Pelodiscus sinensis: one gene and its partners. The protein of the gene in region 2 interacts with the protein of the main gene of each other region in a biochemical or structural test. Links are inferred from orthologs where the notes say so. Each region holds a gene or a part of one and is shown on either strand. Other genes may lie near its edges.

Region 1 (7,993 bases), on a different chromosome or scaffold from region 2:
CGCAGAGAACAAATAATATTTCCCAATGAAGAACAGGGTTCAGTGACCATGGGAAAATGTGAGAGTCAAATACACTCTGTTGTGCCTTAATAAAATCAATAGAGTGTCTCCAAGCTGTACTTGGCACTGTGTGTTTCATATCATTATATGTTGTGTAAAATAACATTCATGCACAGGGCTACATTAGTACCGTTACAGGACAACAGGGGTGGAAGTGGCACAATATGCAAGTAGAATATCTAGAAAGACACAATCCTACAGAGTGATCTAGAACTTCAAAACTGACCAGTGAATCACAGGAGCATCATCAAAACATTGCTCCCCCCCACACTGGAAAAGAGAAGAAGAATCTATCAGCAAGAATAATGTACTCTCCTGATTTCTGTACAAAGTCACTGCAGAAATTTAGACTCCTTCCTGCAATGCCCCCATCATTCTCCCTTGCTGCCTCCAGCTTGCCTTACAATAGGATGACAAGCAACTTTAAGTAGATGACAGATATGGAGAATGACAAAAAACACTTTGCTACTAGAGACTTGCAACTACAACATGTGTCTGTTAGTCAATATCCAACTGTCTACAGAGCTTTGTTACCCTGCCTGACAGTTTTGGGGGGGGGGTTAAACACCAAGACTTTTTCATCTTAGGCAGAAGGGTCTGAGCACGAGACTAACATAACATCAAGAAGAGAACTTTTCATCTCACCAAGTGTTTATAAGCTTCTTAGCTGCATAACTTGCACTTCTGACCCCTAGCTACTTAAAGAGGGAGTGGAAGTTCACTTTTGGCTTTAAGCTCAGTGCAATGGAGCAGTTATATTCCATTTCAGCACCTATATACCACAGCAATGGATACTTTAGAAATGCCTAGGTAGAAAGGCACTGGCAGATCTGGCAGTGGGAGCATGAGAAACTGCTGTCTTCCATAAATCAGCAGTTCTGGATGGATACACATGCCCTATTTCACATTGCTATGAGACTAGGAAATACAAGATCAAGATTAAGCAGAAATTGGGGGGGGGGGAGAAAACAGTCCGGGTGGTGGAGATGAAGATTTATAATGAAGGGAGTGAAGTAACAGCATCTGCTTTATTGCAATGCTGACCAAGTTAAAGCTTTGAGTGGCAATTTGCATGTGGCACAGTGTAGAAGTGGAGCTACTGAATCTTTGCTTCATGTTGGGAGGGGATGACTCACAGATCAAGGTTCAATGTGCCTGGGAGGGGAAGGAAGAGTTCAAACTTGAAGCTCAGCCCTGCTCTCATTGAAGTTAAGTTCCTTTGAATTCAATGACAGCAGCAGCAAGTCCTTGAAACATCTGTCTGCTCTCAGGGTGAACTGCAATAAGCACCAAGAGAAAACAAGACCCATGTTGTCAATTCAACTCTTCTCCAAGACACCATTAGAAGTCTCTAGTACGAGAGAAACCGTTTATCTCAACAAGACCAAAGCCCACAATATTCACATGGGGTCACTGCCTTGAGCTAGCCTTCTTGCTCTGGCCACCATCCACAACAAACCTCCGACTTCCAACCGAGATCTGCCATTAACACTGAAGCCACGAGGCAGCGCTAGCTGTTACAGTTTGGGCAGTGTGCCTGGTGGTGCCAGCAGAATACCAAAAACATAGAAGAGCCCCAGCAGGAGATTGAGCTTGGCTGTCCGCTGGGGAAGTTTGCTGAAACTCTGGCTCCGGAACTGCCTCTCCAGCGAAAAGGCCATAGGAATGGTAAGTAGTGGTAGTGCCATGCTGATGGTATAGCGTGTGGCCAAGACGCAAAAAATCAGGTAGGGCAGGAAGAGTAGTGTGTTGTAGAGCATGTAGGAGAACATGGGGCCAATGAGGATAGCCAGGGTGACAATGCCTGCTTGCTGGTCAGATTCCATGTCCCGAGTGTTGTTGCTGTGCAGGATGGCCTCCGTGCTGAGGGCTAGTGGGATAGCATAGAGCAGCGGTGAGACAGACAGATAGCCAACCTGCACGGCATGGGCAAACATAACAGCCAGGGGTCCAAACGTGATGAGGATCACCAAGTCGCCAAGTGCAACATATTTAAATCCAATTCCTGTGGCAATAAACAAGATGAAAACAAGTGTCAAGTGTTACCAAGTAAAATTTACTTTACAGAGAACAACAGATGTTTCTTAAACAGATCAGCTCCTAAAAATTGCTGTAAAAGCCAATACACAGCTAGGGCAGGGCTACACACGTTCTTTTATTGCCCCAGAATTGATTATCCTTTACCCTTTCCAAAGATAATAAAGCAAATACAATTTTTGCAATTTCCAGTCTCAACCAGTGAGCAAAGATTAAGGGGCAGATTCCAGTTATCCATCTGGAATACCTTATTCCACAAGCAGTCCTACTGAAGTCAAAGGGATTACACATGAAGTACAGTGCTACCCAATGTGAATACAGATAGAATCTGTCCATGAGCTGATGCAACAATGAGAGTAGAGTAACAGCTGCTACATCTTCCAAATGATAGTTTGTGAATCCTAGAAACTAATCTTACTTATAGCAAAACACAGGGTATGTCTCTTCATCTACCAGATAGCTTAACTGATGAGGCAAAATCAACTTTTTTTATCTTGAAATGTCCCTTAAAAATATCTTAAGTTTACTTTTCATTTGAAATTAGATCTGGCCAATAACAAATAACAAACCCTACTGATAGTACACATTGGGCTCCCTCCATGGAGAAGAGAGCATAAATAATTAATCAAACCAGCTGACATACACCAGATATACATTTCACACACAATTTCTGCAGAGACTTAAGAGTATGGAGTACAACCCTTACCTCCAGTATAAAGGAAAGAGCTGGAAAGTCCACCAAAGTAAATCAGGGCCAGGTGCTCCAGCTTGAGAGTAGAGAGACAGTAGAGGCAGGCAGCACAGACACAGCCCAGAGTATAGAGGAAGACCCCAAATCGAACCACATCCTGAGGCTCCAAGATCTGGTCCACCAATGTCCGGTCATCACTCTTCTTGTGGTCAATACCCTTTGAGAAGTCATAGTAGGTATTAACCAAGTTGCCTGCTCCATGCACAGCCAGGACAGCCACTGCACTGCCCACTAGCAGCCCTGGGTCTAGGGATCCTTGGGACCGATAGGCTAGGGCACTGCCCAGAGCTACAGGAGTCAGAGAGGCACTGAAGCTCCAGGGCCGCAGGGCCAGGACATAGGCTGCACATTTCTGCCTCCAGGTGCCTGGATGGCTCTTCTCAGAGCTTAGCAGCCCTACACCCAGCTCCCCCAGGTCAACACTTCTAGGGCTCTCAGCACTGATGCTAATCTTCTCTGTCTGATCCTCAGACTCCATGCTCTTCACGCAGCTGCTTCAAGAGAAGGTGCTGGACAGAGACCTGGGAAAGCCAGGAGAGTTTGCATTAGTAACTGTAGCCTAAAAAGGAAACCGGCTTCTCCGGTGGCTCAACGGTGGCACACAACCCGGGGGGGAGCTGCCAGGCCGTGGGGGAGTCCGCCCGCAATGTGAACCTCTGCCCACAGCAGCACAGAGAGCGAGTGGCAGGGCCCATCCCATGCTGGGCACCACAAGGGAGAAGCCGGGTCCTCCCGTGGCTTTCACCTCCACGTGCGGCGCCTCGGCCCCCGCAGCCCATTTCCCCGACCTCCGTGTCCCCTGCGGGAGGAAGAAAAGGCCCCAGGGGCAGGGGCGCAGCCCGGGTGAGGCGCCGGGGAGGCAGCTCCGAACCCGGGGCGGGGCTGAGCTTGCTTCCCCGACTTACGGGGCTTAGGGTGGCTCCAGGGCCCCCTCGCCTGTTGCAGAGCCAGGTCCCCGACAGGCCTCTCCGCTCACGAGCAGGCCGGGCACTCGGGACCACGGCAACCACCCGGAGGTGCTACGTGTGCACCAGCCAGGCCGGCCCCTCCAGAAACAAGGGCACCGCTTACCGAGGTTCCGCTTGCTCTGAGGGCAACTCAGGGCCTGAGGAGGGGGAAGGATGGGGGAAGAGCCCCACCCACACTGTTAGTAACTCAATGGGGGGGGTGCCTTCTCGCAGGGGCGAGGTGGCATAGTTAGGTGAAACCCCTTCCTTGGCGTCACTCAGCCAGTCCCTAGCAGAGCTGAGGGTTGACCCTTGCAACCCCATTTCCATTCTTTAGCTAGAGACTATAGAGACTTCCCTATGCCCAGCGCTGCACACTGGTGCTTGTGATGCTGCATGCACACACAGGCCCATGCAGGCGGAACAGTCTACCTGGGCCATTGTTTGCAAGATCAGAGCCTTAACCTCTCCAAGCCTCAATTTTCCCAATCTGCAAAACCCGGGATAACAATCCAGAGAGAGTAATATGCGGGAAATACTCAAATAAACTGGTAATAAGTGATAGAGGAAAAGCGTAGGACGTTAATACCTGCCACATTTATTAAGTTATTAACCATTATTATGAACTATTACGGAGCATCCACATCTGTTCATGGGTAACAATAACAAGCCTGTTTATTTGAACACTTCCCCATTAACATTAGCAGTAGATCATGGCTATTAAACGCTCTGTGCGGATTATCATTGTACCTATTCGCTATTCTACGTGTCACAAACGCGGCTGGCTTCTACACGCGTCATTACGGGAACAGAGCGCTCTTCGGGGGGGACTCATTTCATGGCTGCACCCAGAACAGTAGAGACGCTGACAGCGGGGGATAAAAGGGTTCACGCGGCGGAAGACTCCTACAGTCTCCACGCTTAGAAAAAGGGCCGATGCGGCGCCTTTTCCGCTTGCGCACAAACCTGTATCGCTTCAGAAAGGGCGGAAGCAAGGCGGCTTTCCAAAGACGGGGGCAAACTCTGAATTCTAACCAATTACGCGGCCTCTCGCTGACCATTGGTGAATCTAAATGTCAGTCTATCACTCTCTGCCCTTTGATTGGCCAGAAGTAACTCCACCCGCCTCCAGCGGGTTTTTTTTTTGGAAGGGGTGGAACCACGAGCCGCCTAGTAAACCCTCCTGCCCCGCAAAACTATTGGCTGGGCCACCTGCTAGTTACAGTCCCCTCAACGCCGATTGGCTGGCGGTTTTTCGCCGGGCCGGCGGCAGCAGTGGGGGGGAGGGGAAACCCGGGGCCCAAGCTGGGGAGCCGGTCGCGGCTGGGCCGGGTGGAGGCGGTGAGTGAGGGGGGCCCCGATCCGGAGCTGGGAAGTCATCCCCCTCCCCCCAACGCCGGACTGCGGGGGCTGCCTCCCCTCCCCCACCGCCCGGCCGGCTGGCGCAGGCGTCCAGCAGCCGGAGCCCTGTCAGCGGGGCCGGGGCGCTGCCCTGGGGGCTGCTGGCAGGGGCCCGCCCCGCAGCACGGGAGATGCCCGGAGCTGGTAGCCCCCCCCCCCCCCCGGGGCCTCCCCGCTCTGCTGCCGCCGGGGCTGGGACCGTGGCCTTGGAGCTGCGCCGGCTTCCCCCTCGCCCCTCGGGGAGCGGCCGGGTCTGAGCCCCCCGCTCATGCGGGCAAGGCCGCTGCCCTTGGCTCTGGGCCCGGATCCTAGGCCTGGTTGGCCCTCGCTAGGCAGGCTGCGTCCACCCCTCGTGCATTTCTCTCTCCGGAGAAGAGGGCGCCTCTCTGGGCTGCTCCTCCAGCCTGGGTCCGAGCACGGGAGCCGGCCCTGGCCTGGGGGGATGCTGGTAGCTGGAAAGATTCCACACTAGACTCAGAGGCATCTGCTGTACCCGAGGATTTTAACGACGCAGGGTTGTCCAGTAGCTAGTGAGGAATAGGGACCCAGGGCTCCTTAAGGGTCTGACCCTAGTTCTGCTACTCATTTGCTGTTTGCCCAGTAGTAAAGTCTGTGACCGGTTTCCCCCTTTCTTAAAAAGTGTATTTTTAACCTTTGCAAAAAAAAAAAATGCACCTATCACCATGGTTTCCAGACATGCACAATATTAAACATCCCATTAAAGCAGTGATGGGCGATCTATTTAGCGAGCGGGCTGCATGAATCTCCAGCCTGCATCTTAGCGGGCTGCAGAATTAACATAACCACGGTGGTCTCCCAGGTTAAGGTAGTTTTGCTAACTCTGCTTGCATGCCTAGAACTTTCAGGGTGAGCCAATTGAACCGTAGCAGTGCTTTGATTGGATGCAACAGGAACACTCGGCTCTTGCAGTCAATGTTGTATGCAAACAGCATGTACCTCACTTCATGTTGCCCACCACTGCATTACAATGATGGTTGCTGGCATGAACAGATTCTCGGCCTATAAATATACATTGGGGTTTGACTGTGTTTGTAAAGAATTTTCTGTTCTTGGATGAAAGGCAACATAGAGGAGCAAATTAGAGTAACAATAATATTGACATGCATGCCAAGCGGTCCTTATCCTCCTTGTAACTTTGCATGACTGGGAACACCTCGGAAGCACAGCCCAGTGTGTATATTTGGGCGTGGATTTGATTTGAGCATGTCACATGTGAGCATGAATGGTTTGGGATGAGACTGGGGGAGTAAGGGAGGTTAAGCTCCGACCTGCTTCTGTAGGATGCACTGAAGGACTTAGCAACCTAGTGAAGGACTTAGTGGCCAGGGTACAGACTCTTAGATTCCACAGATCTTGGTGAGACTTAAGTGAACTCTGGAGCCCTACCAAGGTCTGTGAAATGTGAGAGCCTGTACCTCTGTCATGGATCTCATGGAATCTTTGTAGTTACTGTGGCATCTGAGAGCCCACTGTGTCTCATGGCATGTGTATTTGGGAGCAGTAATTTGGAGCAGTGTGGTGGAGGGAGCTATAATTGGCTTCTGCAAAAGCAAAAAATAGGTTTTCTGTATAAAAGGTCCACCGGACTTGATGCCCCAAGCCCTGACTCATCACCACCATGTCGGGCACCGTGTCCATCCTTCAGCACTTTGCCAGCGGCCTGAAGAGCCGCAATGAAGAAATCAGGGCAAAAGCCGCCAAGGACTTGCAGCATTATGTCACCATGGAGCTCCGTGAGGTAAGTGCTGTAGATGTGGAAGCAGCAGCATTTAGCTGGGGAGATATGTTTGTATTATGTGGCTGGGGAATGAGAGGTGTCACCAGTAGGGATGTAAGTGACTAGTTAAGTGCTGTAGATGTGGAAACAGCAGCATTTAGCTGAGGAGATATGTTTGTATTATTTGGCTGGGGAATGAGAGGTGTCACTAGTAGGGATGTAAGTGACTATTTAAGTGACTACTTGACTATTCGCTATCCACACCCACCCCCACACCCCAGCCCCGCTGTCTCTGGGGGTAGATCCCAGAGCTGGTGCAAGCTGGGACTGAGCAGTCCCGGCTCGGGCCGGCTGTGGGACCTGTACAGCTCTGTATTTTAAATGTAGTAAGAGCTGCCTTTGAATTTGGGAGCCTGGAAAGTGTTGTTGCCCTTCTTCATCTGGGGCACAGGTAGTGGAAAAGGGATTATAAATCGGTCTGAATTCCTTTCCTGTGCAGATGAGCCAAGAGGAATCCACTCGTTTCTACGATCAGTTGAATCACCACATATTTGAACTGGTCTCTAGTTCTGATGCGAATGAAAGGAAAGGAGGCATTCTGGCTATAGGTGAGTAAAGGAATTCATCAGCATCTTTGGTGAACTTCCTCTTCAAGTTCTATAGAGGCAGGTTGTCAAAAGAACTCTGCACCTACAAGAGGCACTCTGTATGCTGAAGAGAGCTCAGTGCAATGAGGGTGTATGGGATGCAGAACTCTTAAAACTCTGAGGCTGCTCAAGAGGGCTTATACCTGAGCAGGAGCGTCGGAGTATTTGCGCAATAACCACTGATTTTGTACATTACAAAGTCAGTGTTCTTGCACAAATAGTCGTGGCCAGTGTAGACAGGCGGCAAGATTTTGCGCAAAATTGGCCACTTTTGCTCAAAATCATGCCAGTCTAGACGCAGCTTGACTGTAAATGTCACATTGGGAGCTGTTGGTTGCTGAGCACTTCTGAAAATCTGGCCCTATGCTCTTTATAGTGTCCAGTGTTGTTGGTGGTCATAATAGGCCAGTCC
Region 2 (7,172 bases):
CATTCTAGTAGTGAAGGCACTTAAACATGGATCTCCACATCCCAGGTGAGTGCTCCAACCACTGGGCTAAAAGTTACACGGCGAGCACCACCTTCTCTGGCTGTTTTGTATGGCACTACACAGACATCTCACTTATTTCTGCAAAAAATAGTGTCAACATTTAAACTTCCTGACTTCAGGAGATGGGCTCCCATTTGTGGATGGCCAAATGAAGCTAGATGCCTTTGTGCAGCCTGCACTTAGGGTGTCTATCTCCATGAGAGGAAAGGGGCTTAGTATACAACTTTTTAGTTAGTATCTGCCTATAGCTAGCTAGGCAGTTCCCTGCCTAGCAAATTAACTTTTGTGTATCACATTCTTAGGCTCCTACCTCTTCCCATTAATTGTATAGGGAACCTATTTACTAGGGGTGGGCAATAATTTTTGATGGGGGGCCACTCCAAGATTCTGGAAAGTGGTCAAAGGCTGCACTCTTCCATGATATTAATGGAGGAGGTGCGGGGTCTGGGATGGAAGTTGGGTGCAGAAGGGAGATTGGGGTAAGGGATTGGAGAGAATGTGGGATCTAGGAGGGAGCTTGGGTGAAGGAAACAGTTGTGATCTGGGGCACTGGACTGTGGTGGAAGGGTTCGGATTGTGACATAGGACAGGAAGAGGTTGTGAACTGGGGTGTAAGGATTTGGGTTTTGATCCAGGCAGGGGACTGGGGTGCTGGGGTTTGGGATGTGACCTAGGGGAGAAGGGGTTTGTTACCTGGGGTAGAGGGCTGTGGTGCAGGTTCTGGGAGGGAGTATGGGTGCAGGAGAGGGGCAGACAGTTCGGGTTATATGGGGTAGGGGAGGCAGGAGTGGTGGGCACAAGGTTGGGGGAGGGAGGGGCTGGGGTGCCAGAAACAGGTTCTGGCTGGGAGACTTACTTGGGTGACTCTGGGCCAGCAGCCCAGCACATTTCTGATGCAGCTTCCCGTGTGTGTGTGTGTGTGTGTGTGTGTGTGTGTGTGAGAATAATTACAAGCCATAGGGGAGGGAGGTGTAGTTCTTTGTGTGCTGCCTGTTTTTCAAACAGGCAGCTTTCACTGGCCAGAAACAGCTCACAGTGGTGACAGAGAAATGTCCCGACAGCTGCTTTTCTGAGTGGAGTGTGGGTGGGGCGAGGCAATTAGGGAGCCTGCCTGGGGCTCCCTGCTGCGTCCGCAGGCCAGATCCCGTGGCTCAGTAGGCTGAATCTGGCCCGTGAGCCATATTTTATGCAGCCCTGTTCTACACTAACCTCAGGGTTTGTGGATCACAGTGGTGTTCCTGAATTATCTGAGCACATAAAACATTAGGTGATGCAATATTCAGCATTGCAATACCAAAGTCTTTTTGTGGATCTGACCAAAGACAGTCAGAACTTTATGTAACACTCCAGCAGAGGTATAAATAGAGAAAATTGTCTCATGAACTCATGTCTGTGCATTTGCAGCCAATAATTATCCAACAATTTGAAGGATGGAAATGCCACTAAACTTATTCCCAGAAATCAAGAAGAGAAAATAGGACTCACAAAAGATCTATGACCTGTCCAAATAAAAGGACAGAAACTGTCTAATGTTCATTTTACGGAGTATGTGGGATGAATGTAATTGCAGATTATCAAAGTAAGAGGCTGATTTAAGTGAAAATCCAGAACAAATTTGAAACAAGCATCAAAGACCAGCTTGCTTTTGTGAAAATGTAAGAATTAGGTTTTGGACATGAGGGCCTGTCACTCACTAGCATATATTGTAGATATGAGAGCTATTAGAAAAACACAATGTTATGATCTAGGAAATACATACTGATGGCTTCTAAATCGAGGACTCATGAACCTCAGGGTTAGAGATAAATGTTCTATGCCATTTGAAAGAGAGGATTCCCATATTTCAGCTGTGGTAGAGCATCAATTCTAGTTCTAAGCGCTTCAGAATGGTGATGATATAGTTCTTTGTGTTTCCACGGAGCCCAAATCCTGACTGGAGACTTTGTGAATTAAAAGCAGTAATAAACAAAGAAACAAAACAAACAGTTCTCTATATACTGATCACTAATTTCAGATTACGGTTCAAGTTTGTTGACTGTTCATATGCTTGCTTTATGTTATGTCCCTGTTTCTTACCTTTCATGTTTTGTGTCTTTAAGGCTTGATTGAGGCAAAGTTTTATGCATAAAATAATTATGTTCTATGAATAATCTTATTGAAGTTAATTTTATTATGCACCTGCATAAAGTTAAGCATCTGGGCGTGAGTGATTTGGCTGCTAACATTAAATAATAAACATTGTGTTTTTATTATTACGTGATAATAGGTCAATGCTGGGATGGGTTTTGCACTTAATTATTGTTGGCTTTTAGCCCAATTGGAACCTATAAAAGGGGGAAATGTTATTTCTCAAATACATTTTACAGATTACATTATATTTAGATAGACTGTTCGTTTCTTTTCCTTCTAAATGTTGACATATGTAATGAATTCCAGAGCCAGGTCAGATCAGTTTCTAGGGATTCTTTTCATGCATTTTGTAACTATTATCAGGAACATATATGCAGTTAAAGAGAGAGTGAGGGATAAAGCAAGAGACTGTTGCCAACACCTTGAATTGTACCCAAAAGCAAACAAAAAGCCAATACAGAGATTTGAGCACAGATGTTGTGTGCCCATAACAGCACTTTCCACTCAGTAACTGAGCAGCTGCATTCTGCATTACCACAAGCTTTGGGGTTTATTTATTACATTTAATGGAAGCAATCAATTACAACAATTATTGTCGGAAAGGTTCACTATAAAGACAGGATGGGATATCACAATTATTACTCATGGCAGAAGTGTTAGTGAAAGTAAAGATTGATGGATCAACCCCTATTTGACCGCCTCATGTTAAAAGGCTATCCACAAAAAAAGAATGTTTATTTTCAAGACAGTATTTACTAATACTGTGTGAAAGATATTTCATGATTATTGTTGGACTTTTTTTAAATGCTATATTTTTCATGTTTTCAGGATTAAATAATGACATTCAACTCTTTTATCTTACCACCTTGTATAGGTTTTCCTTTAATTAAAAATATGTGCTTATAATCATTTTTTCAGCTGAGAATTTAAGGACTGTCTCCTTTGCAAAGAGAAACTTTCCCCAGATAATGTGATATGTATGTCATAATTTCACCATATTTGACACAGTGCCATGGTATGAAATGGTAATATTTTAATAATGTACAGCATAATTATGTTTGGACATAACTCCATGATAGGTGGGCCTTTAAATCAATATATAATTGGATTATGCAATATATAACAATATGGTGACACAAAACTGACACATTTTAACAAGAGGCATGGCAATAGCCTGAGACACCGCCCTTACTTCAAGCTGACATTTCCTCAAGGCCTGAATGCTATTTGCATAACCCCAGACAAAATCATACCAACCCTACATACTTTCTGGCAGTCACAGTCCCCCTTCCACCCACCCACCGCCTCTTAACATGCTTCACAGGCAGATGAGACTAAATGAATGTAAAGCCTCTTTATTGGCAGCAGACGTACCACAGTGTTTTTCATCATGGCTTTAACCGTGAATCCATCGGTGACCTGCTGCTTGGCTCTCCTCGCCTGGCCTAGTGGCTGCTGCTGTTGTTGGGGTCTCTCTGCAGGCAGCTTGGGGGGGCTCGAATCCTCCTTCTCTGCCACCATCTCCCCAGGCACCTCTGTGGAAAACAGGAATCACAATACAGGCTAAAAGAATACATTGGAAAATAAAATCAACCTCACGCTCGGCTGCCCCTTCCTGGCCCCCTGCCCCTGCTGCCTTTTCTCACCCCCTGCTATCGCCTAGGTAGGGTCGGGGGGGCTGGGCCACTGACACGCTTTGTTGCTAACACCGACACGCTTCTAGGGACGCCTCACGGTTGCTAAGCAACGTGTCAACAACCTGCCCGGTTTCTGTTTGCGGTCACGTGAGGAAGGTGGGCGGGGCGAGAGGGGAAGGGGAGAGGGGGAAAGGAAATCGCGCCGATCACGCACCCCAGCCCTGGCGACAGTAAGAAAGCGCGGGCGCACAGGAGAACTACACTACCCAGAGGGCTACTGCGCTCAGCGGGGCACGCGCCAAGTTTCCGCATGCGCAGTACGGCCCAGCCCGTCCCACCGGCCCGCCCCGCAGTTTGCGTCTTCAGTCCCGTGCTGAAGGCGAGAATTTGAGCTGCGAGCGCGGACGGGACGGGGGCGTGCGCGCGCCCTCCTCCCTCCCCCCCCATCGTGGCCATGATAGGTGAGTGAGTGAGACCCGGATGCAGCCAGCGGTTCCTCCGCCCCCCACACAATCTATTCGCGAGCCAGTCCCACCGAGCCTGTGGCGCAGCAGCCTGGGCCCGGGACCCCCCCCCCCCCCCCCCCCCCCGGCTCGTGGCCACCTGCTCCACCCGCCTGTTGCCAGCACTGGCCTGGCCCCGCGGCTACCGACATAGGAAATTACTTGCGCTCCCCGCGCGCAACATGTTCACTCCCTGTGCAACCCCCCGCCCCAATACTCCCTTCCCCCCCGCGCACACAAACAGGGCTGCCAATTTTGGTATCTCATCATGGCGTAATATTTAATTAAAGATGAACCCTTTAATTCCTAGAGATTGCAGGACAACCGTGCAGGAATGGCAACACGCACACTGTAGAGTACGCACCCTTCCGTGCAACACCCCGTAGTGTATGCATTCCCCAACATAATGCAGCCACTCTGTAGGTTCTCACACCATGCACACGTACATCTATGCAGCCAGGGTACCCCGCACACACGCACTATAGGCACAATACATATGCATGCACTTAGTTTGTGACTCGAGATATTGCTAGTCTTGATCTCTTATTTAGCCAATATCAACATAATGGTGCTTTACGGCAAAGACATACTAGCACTGGTGCACCCAAGGGGAAAAAAAATTGACCGTTGACCAGCTTGTCCCCCTCTCTCCTAACACCTGCCTGCCACAGAAGGCTGTTTTTGCAGTGTGGGGGTGCTCATAGTGGGGGTGGGGGGAGGGAGGAGAACAGGGATATGGCATGTTTGGAGGAGGTGGTGGGTGAAGTCTGGGGGAGCAGAGGATGAAGAGTGGAGGTTGACCCCTTCTCCCCTGGTGCCTAATATGCTTCACAGGTAAGTGAAAGTATAAGTGACTGGACTCTCCACTCCTTTGCAGAGTACTACACTTATGCAAAGCAAGTGTGAAACCCAATGGAAAGGGATTGAAAGTGTTTTACATCAGCTTTGCACTGGCATATGTCCTCATAAAAAGAGTGTGATATTGATGACTTTTTTTCTTTTGACCTTCCAGGAAATATTTGTATCTTTTAATCAAGTGTATCCCTTTTGTTCTTTCACCATGTGGTCTGCTTATAAATCTAACTGTATGCAGTGTTGTATCTGTATTAAGTTCCAGGATATTGGAGAGACAGTATGGGTGAGGTAATATCTTTTATTGAAGCTTTGTGTCAGCTCATAAGCTTGTCTATCTCACCAACAGAAATTTGACTAATAAATTACCTTGCCCATTTTGTCTCTATAAATCTTGATGGCAGCTAAGTCGTGGTTCATCTTGATCTTTCCATTGCCTTCATGCTGGCTGAGAGTAGTTGTCTCTTGCAGTCCTGCCCTGCCATTGTTATCTCTTCACACAGCAGGAGTGGAGTTGAGGAATCAACTTACATTCGGGCTTCACAGATAGTGGTGGGAGGTAAGAGGGCACTGGGTGAAATGACCAGAGTTACCTCAAAGTTGACAACATGTATTGTGCAGATTACAACACGTGACCTTGTAATCCAACTAGCCAAAATTTCCCTCTGGTATTGGAAAGAAGAGGTAGTTAATCCCCAATATCCCTGTTCCCTCATTGTGGACCCCACAAATCACAAAGGCTACCACATGGTCTCAAAAACTGTAAACTTTTCCTTTTACATACTCCTCCTTTTTCACTTTAATTTTTATTTTGTTAATTACAGATGAAGAACATAACATTGAGGTCCTAGATAAAGTTGTTTGTGCTTGAAGGATTTCTTCCTATCCCCCGATTTTAAATACCTTTTTTCTGCCTCTCTCATTGGGTGTTTGTCTCCTATTTGAGATCTAATCAAAATTAAATATGTTCAATTTTATAGTTGATGTACTGATGAAACATTGATCCTCTAAAAGTTTTGTAACTGAATTTCTTGGGAAATTGCTGCACATTCCCTATTATTTTTGTAGCGAGAAGTTATTTTTCCTTTCTTGTTAATGTATGGTTTCTGGAATGTTAGTGTGATGTTCTCTTTAAACCATCTAAAAGCAAAAGAAAGTTGTGTAACTTTATGACGGTGTGATTTTTTTAATTCTATGTGAATATTATATGCAGTGTCTACTGCAATTTGTGCCTAGTTGCATATATCTGTTCCTTTTTTTCTAATGCAGTAGAGAGCATTTATAAGAAAACTTGATTTAATGAAAGAAGTGTTTTCTGACTCAAATATTTATATATCTTGATGAATTGTACAGAGTTCAGATCAGAGTACTTGCTTACAGAGCTGCAGTTAGTGTTCTTTTTAAAATTTTCTTTAATTTTTTAGCAAGTCAATATAAGACAGTTTTAAAAGGCATATGTGACTTAAAGTTTTGAAGGAATGAAAGGCTTGAGTGTCATATGCTTCTGATTGTGTGGCATGAAGAATTATAGAGCACGAACTGAACCCTAATCTTCCTGTTAGGATTAAATCTGCACCAGTCTTCAATTTTATTTGCATGTGGCTAATGCAACATACCTACTGACCCGAATTTAGATAGGCTATAACCTATTAAGACAGAAAATCTTAATTTAAACTGATCAGCTTTATATGGCTCATTTATAAATTGATCAAGAAAGTCTCAAAATAATTGTCAGATGCTAAATATATATATGTGTGTATGTAAAACATCGTTTTTTCAAACCTGACAAACACAGGAATCATGTTCTAACAGTATAGTGTTCTTGTGGAAAATTTTCTTTTGAATAGAAATTACTACAGATCAGCAATTTGATCTATCTGGTTGGTCCCTGCACTCATAAGGAGTACCACTGATGTCAGTGATATTTTGTATAGGCATATGGATGTGACCCAATGGGTCAGATTGTAAATATATAGGACCAGGCACAATA
Region 3 (7,224 bases), on a different chromosome or scaffold from region 2:
AAGTAAATAATTTGTCAAGTCATTTTCCTTTTTACTTTCTATTTAAAAAGTTACTTGTATTACCGTAGTTCCTAAGAACCCGTGTCATGGACCAGTACCCCATGTCACTGTAAAAAACAGAACAAAAAGATGGTTCATGACCCCAAAGTGTTCACAATCTGAGTATTAATTGAGAGACAAGAAGTGGATACAGACAATCAGACTGGGGAGTACAAAAACTCAGAGACAATATTATATATGATATGATAGGCAGGGCCCTATCAAATTCATGGCTGTGAAAAACATCACGGACTGTAAAATTACTCAAAAGACAGATTTCAATCTATACTATATAGATTTAATTGGGGAAGTCAGGCTATGTCTACACTGGCAGGTTATTGCGCAATAATGGCCGTTCTTCCGGAAAGAGTCCACATTGCCCGCCTGCTCTCACGCAAGAAGATTTACAGTACAGGGTGGTAAGAGAAGGCTTCTTGCAGAAGAGCTGTGCTCTTTAACAGGTGTAAGCCCTCTTGCGCAGGAGCTCTTGCAAGAGGGCAGTGTGGACGTTCAGCAGCGATTTCTTGCGCAAGAAAGCCCTATGGCTTAAATGGCCATCAGAGCTTTCTTGCGCAAAAGAGCGTCCACACTGCCATGGGCACTCTTGCGCAAAAGCACAGCTTGCACATGGCAGTGTGGACATTTTCTTGCGCAAGAGTTCTTGCACAAGAACCCTTGTGCAAGATGCCACCAGTGTAGACAGCCTCAGTGTTTCTCAAACTGGGGATCCCAACCCAAAGGGAATTGTGGAGGGTCACAAGATTCTTGTAAAAGGGGCTCATGGTATCGTTACCCTTACTTTTGAACTGCCTTTGGAGTTGAGTGGTCATAGAGCAGTGGCTTCTGGCCAGACACTCAGCTCTGAAAGCAGCACCCCACAAGCAGCAGTTCAGAAGTAACTGTGGCAATACCATACTGTGATGTCGTGGGGGTGCTGGCTGCTCTGTAACCTGGTGTCCCCCCTGCGCTGTGATGTGTGATTTCCACTGACTCACCCACATGTGTATTGGCCCAGACACTTAGGACCAGCCTGGGCAGTTAGCAAAGCTCTTCCCAGGGGGAGAGACAAAGGGAGGGAAGCAGAGATGATCATCAGGTATCGGGGGAAGGGTCAGTTGCTGGCTGGAAAACATTAAGGGAACAACCTAAGCTGAGGACTGAGGGTCTGGGGGGGGGGGGGAAAGATGGACCCCCTAACTTCAGGGATCTGAGGCATGCTGGCCTTGACTCCTGTAACCACATCACATCTGTGCAATGCTGTACCCTGGAGAAGCAATAAACCCTCTCTATTCTACTGGCTGGTTGAGTCTGTTCTTGCTGCTACGGGGCTGCAGGACCAAGGGAACCTCGACTGTGCTGTCACGCATACCATGCCACCCTTACTTCTGCTCTGCTACTAGTGATGATGCTTCCTTCAGAGCTACACTCCAGGACAGTAGCCATTGCTCTCCAGCTACCCAGCTCTAAGTCCAGAGGTGTAACCAGCAGCAGTGTAGAAGTAATATAATCTCCCTATAATGACCTTGAGATCACTTCCTCAAAAAAAAAAATCTGGATTGGGGCCGCTACTGTTAAACCACTGTGCCCTTTCAGATTTAAATACCTGAAATCATGAAATTTACAAATTTTAAAATCCTACAACTGAAATTAACCAAAATAGACTGTGAATTTGATAGGACCCTAATGATAGGCAATGGTCTCAATTGACCAACAGATTTTTGAATGCTGCCTGTTGCTTTTTGTGTTATAATCAACCCTCCAGCAACATTGTTACAAACACAGTTGCTTGGATTGCATAGCAATTTAGACTCATTCAGAGAAAATGCATTTAAATACATTCAATACAAAGTTAAGCACCTAGGAACAAGGAATGCAGGCTATACCTACAGAATGGGTGACTATTTTTGTAGACAGTGAGAAAGGTTTAGGGATCATAGTGAACAAGCACCTCATCAGCTAGAGTGACAAAAAGGGCCAATATGGTCATTGCATGTAAAATCAGGGGAGCAATGAGCAGGAAGATTTTACCTCTACATATGGCACTGATATGGTTGATAGTGGATTACCAAATCCAGTTTTGGTGTCCATATTTTAAAAGAGATGTTGACAAATTGGAGAGGCACAAAATAGAAGAGAGCCTCAAAATTACTGAAAAGCTTGAAAAAATAAGTGAGATGTAGAGAGCTCAATCAGTTTAATTTATCAAAAAACAAGATTGAGGTGATTTGATTAGGGTATAAGTATCTTCAGGGGGAGAAAATAGCACATAGTGACAGGATCTTTAATCTAGCCGATGAAGGCAGCATAAGAACCAATGTCTTGAAGCTGAAGCCAGACATATAAATTACACTTGTGGAATAGTGAGGTGGTGATTAATGATGTAAACAAATTACAAAGAGAAATGGTGGATTTGCCATCTTGATATCTTCAGATCACATTCTTGAAGATATGCTTTATTCAGACAAGTTATCTTTCTCAGTATAAGGGTAACTGGGTGAAATTTAATGGCCCGTGATATACAGATGATCAGAGTAGATCATCTAATAATCTCTTTTGGCCTTAAACTCTGTGCAAATGTTAACAGCTCCCATAATTTCTGCAGATAAAATTATTTCTTCTGGGGCTGAAACCAATCTCCTGATGGCATCAGAAAGTCTAACCTTCTCCTGGAATTAATTTCTGCCTGTAGGAAGACTTCTCTGGCTGTCTTCTCCAAACCCCATTTATGTACCTCTTATAGTAGCCAAGAAGATATTTGGGAACAGAGAGGGAGCAACTGCCACCCTTCTGCTGCCTTTCTTCTCCATTCTTTGAGAGGGTACTTAGTATCTCCAGGGCTGAGCAGCTATGTTTCCTCTTTTCACCCATTCTTGGTTCCATGAGCAATGGTTCACTCTGCTCTCTCCATCTCTTCAGTGCCAGGCCTGGGAAGTGGAGAAGGCATGAAGAGCTCCCTAGAGCTGTGCACCTACTCCAAAGGCCTATGAAGGGTAAGAAAAGGATACTGCTGCAGCTGTTCTCCAGGCATTGGGGGAGGCAGGGAGAAAGAACACTAGGGCTACGTCTAGACTGGCATGATTTTCCCAAATGCTTTTAACGGAAAAGTTTTTCTGCTAAAAGCATTTGCGGAAAAGAGTGTCTACATTGGCACAATGCAGGACAATGTAGCACTTTAAAGACTAACAAGATGGTTTATTAGATGATGAGCTTTCGTGGGCCAGACCCACTTCCTCAGATCAAATAGTGGAAGAAAGTAGTCACAACCATATATACCAAAGGATACAATTAAAAAAAATGAACAAATATGAAAAGGACAAATCACATTGCAGAACAGGAGGGGGATGCGGGGGGGGGGGGGGGAGGAAGGAAGGTAAGTGTCTGTGAATTGATATTAGAGGTCGGGAGAGTGGGATGTTTGTGAGTTAATGGTATTAGAGGTGATAATTGGGGAAACTATCTTGGTAATGGGTGAGATAGTTCAAGTGTTTGTTGAGTCCTTTTTGGAAAGTGTCGAATTTTAACATGAATGACAGTTCAGAGGATTCCCTTTCAAGTGCAGATGTAAAAGGTCGTTGTAGCAGAATTCTGCACAGACGCTTTTCTGCAAAAGCACTAGTGCCAATCTAGACGCGGTTTTGCGCAAGAAACCCCCGATTGCCATTTTTGCGATCGGGGCTTTTTTTGCACAAAACAATAACCCGTTGTCTACACTGGCCCTCTTGCCCAAAAGCATTCGCCCAAGAGGGCTTTTGCGTGAACGGGAGCAGCCCAGTATTTCCGCAACAACACTGACAATCTTACATGAGAGCGTCAGTGTTCTTGCGGAAATTCAAGCGGCCAGTGTAGAGAGCTGGAAAGTTTTTCCACAAAAGCAGCGGTGGTGGAGTAACTCGCCTCCATTTTAAAGAAAGACGGGAGCTCCCATCGCCTCCTGGGGCCCTTAGTAAAGATGGCGCTGAGAGCCAGATTCCGCTGTGGCGGGCTTGTTCCGTGCCCTCAGTGAAGATGGCGTCGCGCGTAAGACTTTCTCGCAGGCAGTTTTCCTTCAGTAAAGATGGCGACTCCCGGGGGGGGGGGGGGGGGGCTCATTTCCGGTCGTCTTCAGCTTGGCTGCCCTCGTTAAAGATGGCGAACCTTGCTTGCGGCGGGGGTACGCTAAGGGCAGAGGAAGCGGAAGTGATGCTGCTAGCTCCTCCTTCCCCCTCCCCCCCCGCGAACGGGGCGAAGAGGCAGGAGGTGCGGCGGCGGCGGCCCCCCCCCTCCCCCAACCGCAGCGCGCAGCAGTTGCTGGGTAACGGGGGAGCGCACGAGGCGGGGGCGCTGCAGGTGATAGGGACGCGGGGCAGAGAGAGGCTGTGGGCGGCTCTGGCGAACTGCCAGGGAGGTCACGGGGGCTGCGCCGTAGGACCCCCCCCCCACCAGTCATTTTCCTGTGGGGGGGGGGCGCTAGGGACCCCTTCCATCTCCCACCCCTTTCTGCGGTCCCGGTGTTGCGGGCGGCTGCGTCCGTGGCTCCCTGCCCCGGGCTCGTAGCCTGGTGTAACACCCCCAGCTGAGGGAGGGTGGCGGCTCCTGAAGCGACCCTCTTTCGAGGCCGGTGGCATGATGGGCTACTGTGAGCAGCAAGCAGATTGTTCGTGGCCCGGGGGGGGGTGGCGTGTCCCGCCGCGCCCCCCCCCCCCTCCCCTGGCACATGGGAGAAGCTAGTCACTTACCTTGCTGTGCTAGTCACTTTCATCGTGTGGCAATCCTGCCCTTTGCACAGAGCGGCAAACCCCGCCGAGAAAAGTTTAACTCTACACCTCGTTAATAACGAAGCAGGAGACTCTTGAGTTTGCAGCTTTGTCAAACCTTTCTCCTTTATATTTTTAAGTCCTAGAACTTTATTTTTTTAGTGGCCCATTAGAGAGACAAGGTGAACTGGCCTGTGAATAAATTGGCCAATGAATAAATTTAATTTATTGAGCATAGGGGAAAAAGGACCTGGGGAAATGCCTTGAAAATGTGGTCTGATTTTTTTTCATCTCTTTCTTGTTGGAAAAAAGGATATAAAATGTTCTGGTATACATGCGTCTAGGAGGCTAGATGACTTGGATTGGTGATGTAATTAGTCTTTCATTTATTGGGCTGTAGCTACAAGGCCTCAGAACAAAGTTAAGATGCTGTATTTAAATGCAGTTCCAGTTAAACTTGTTTCTACATAACCTGGTCTGTGAGGTGGAACCAAACTAAGGTGTTTAAAAAAGTGTTTCCGCTAACATCCTGAAATGATTATTTGCTGGGCTGACTTAATATTCTGTATCAAACCAAATCTAATAACTTGCTTTCTGGTATGTATGCATATGAGTTTTTATGTAAACAGATAAAGTAATTCATCTATGTATTTTATCTAGGACAGGAGAGAAAATATATTAGAAATTACAATTTTATCCCTTTGTAATTTGACATTTCTGTTGCTGCTAGATTAGAAAATTTAAAAAACAGTAACACTAATTTCAACTAACATTCAACTTGGTGTATCCATTTTTAAAATTTATGTTTTACTTGCTTCATTAAGGGAAGTTGATGTGTTGTGTTCTACTTATTTCTAGTAAGTGTTTCAGTCATTTGGATGTAATTTCTCTTTCAGTTGCATAATGGCAGAAACTATGGCCTCCCCCCTGAAACACTTTGTGCTGGCTAAAAAGACAATTACTGCTATATTTAACCAACTGCTGGACTATGTCACTGAAGGAGCAAGTTTTGTTGAAGGTTAGTTTTCACTTTTGGGGCAGGGACCTTGCATCTTTGTGTGTAAAAATTAGCATAACAGGTTTCTGGTCCTTATGGGGTCTCTGGGTACAATGATAACATATGCATTCTTCAATAAGAGTCTTGGGGTATATACAGATATTTTAAGGGGTGGTAGTATGGTGCAGTGAGTTGGGAAATCTAGAGTTTATTCTCTTCTTAGCTTGATTTAATGTATAACCTTAGGAAAGTCACTTAAACCTACACTTTCAAACTTGGATACCTAAAGACAGGCACTTTAATAAAAGTGGATTTTCAGAAGTGCTAAGCAGCTGCAGCTTTGATTTAATTAAACTACTTGTGCTAGGCAACATTGAGAGTATGTCATAACTGCAGAGTTAATGTGTGTTCTTACTCAAGTGTTGCCTCTAACCATCTGCCACTCCCCACACACAAGCTTCTGAGCAGAGTTATGTGATGCCTTCAGTTCAAGTTCAATGGCTCTTCTGGGACCTTAGGCGAAAGCCAGAGTCTTTCACCGGGGTTGGTATCCAGTGAGTGGCCAGTGAGGATACAGTGTAAACTACTTGAATGCTGATAGACTTCCGGTGTTCTAACAGTTTATTCCTTGTGACCAGAAAAAGAAACCACTTCTCCAACAATTCACTAGGAAAGAATCATTTGACAACTCAACCTGCTACAGCACAAAGAACTATTGCAGTGGCTCCCAACCTTTTTGAGCATATGGACCTCTTTTCAGTCTATTAAAATGTCATTGACTCCCCTCCCTGGGGGAGAAAAAAGAAAATAAAAAGTATCCTTCTTTTTAAACTTTCCATGGACCCTTTGCAGTACTGTTGCGGACCACAGGTTGGGAACCACTGAACCATTGGATATACCTTCCTAAAACTACTAGCAACACATAAGCATGCATGTAACACCAGTGTGGGCATAGTAACTCAAATGCGGCTATGGGAGTTTGGAATGGCTGCCATAAGAGGAGAGATTAATAAAACTGGGACTTTTCAGCTTAGAAAAGAGGAAACTGGGGAGAAGATCATGGAAGTCTATAAAATCATGACCAGTGTAAGGAAATTAAATAGGGAAACATTATTTACCTGCTCCCATAACACAAGAACTAGGGTTTACCAAATAAAATTAATAGGTAGCAGATCTAAAGCAAACAAATAGAATTATTTCTTCATGCAGTATATACAGTCAACCCATGGAACTCCTTGCCAGAGAATGTTGTGAAGACTAGGATTTTAACAGGGTTCAGACAAGAACTAGATACTTTTATGGAGGATAGTGACTATTAGCCAAGATGAGTAGGAATTAGGGATGAAACTTATGATTAATGTTAACCAGTGGAGGCTGGAGCAGCTCCCTGCCTGCCACAAGTAGGGGGCTGCTTCAGCCCTGCGGGGGGGCCTGCTGCTGACAGGGGCTCCTCCG

Evidence for each region. The genes of interacting proteins can lie anywhere in the genome.
Region 1: of the proteins of PRKN (region 2) and MTOR, one has a biochemical effect on the other in vitro, tested with the Homo sapiens proteins (2 studies listed by BioGRID). The link is inferred for Pelodiscus sinensis from reciprocal best matches to the Homo sapiens genes PRKN and MTOR.
Region 3: of the proteins of PRKN (region 2) and MFN1, one has a biochemical effect on the other in vitro, tested with the Homo sapiens proteins (3 studies listed by BioGRID). The link is inferred for Pelodiscus sinensis from reciprocal best matches to the Homo sapiens genes PRKN and MFN1.

The regions. Positions count from the first base shown.
Region 1 is NC_134733.1:11,465,640-11,473,632, forward strand, and holds the start of MTOR (serine/threonine-protein kinase mTOR), read left to right. Parts: upstream 1-4,984; 5' UTR 4,985-5,136; intron 5,137-6,793; 5' UTR 6,794-6,835; coding exon 6,836-6,955; intron 6,956-7,433; coding exon 7,434-7,542; intron 7,543-7,993. Other genes in the region: UBIAD1 (ubiA prenyltransferase domain-containing protein 1), read right to left, coding at 1,578-2,065, 2,804-3,326. UniProt on the Homo sapiens protein: Serine/threonine protein kinase which is a central regulator of cellular metabolism, growth and survival in response to hormones, growth factors, nutrients, energy and stress signals.
Region 2 is NC_134713.1:115,480,154-115,487,325, reverse strand, and holds the start of PRKN (E3 ubiquitin-protein ligase parkin), read left to right. Parts: upstream 1-4,155; 5' UTR 4,156-4,281; coding exon 4,282-4,288; intron 4,289-7,172. Other genes in the region: PACRG (parkin coregulated gene protein), read right to left, coding at 3,565-3,711. UniProt on the Homo sapiens protein: Functions within a multiprotein E3 ubiquitin ligase complex, catalyzing the covalent attachment of ubiquitin moieties onto substrate proteins. Substrates include SYT11 and VDAC1.
Region 3 is NC_134720.1:44,552,900-44,560,123, forward strand, and holds the start of MFN1 (mitofusin-1), read left to right. Parts: upstream 1-4,215; 5' UTR 4,216-4,330; exon of another isoform or gene 4,331-4,365; intron 4,366-4,751; exon of another isoform or gene 4,752-5,369; intron 5,370-5,668; 5' UTR 5,669-5,675; coding exon 5,676-5,790; intron 5,791-7,224. UniProt on the Homo sapiens protein: Mitochondrial outer membrane GTPase that mediates mitochondrial clustering and fusion. Membrane clustering requires GTPase activity. It may involve a major rearrangement of the coiled coil domains.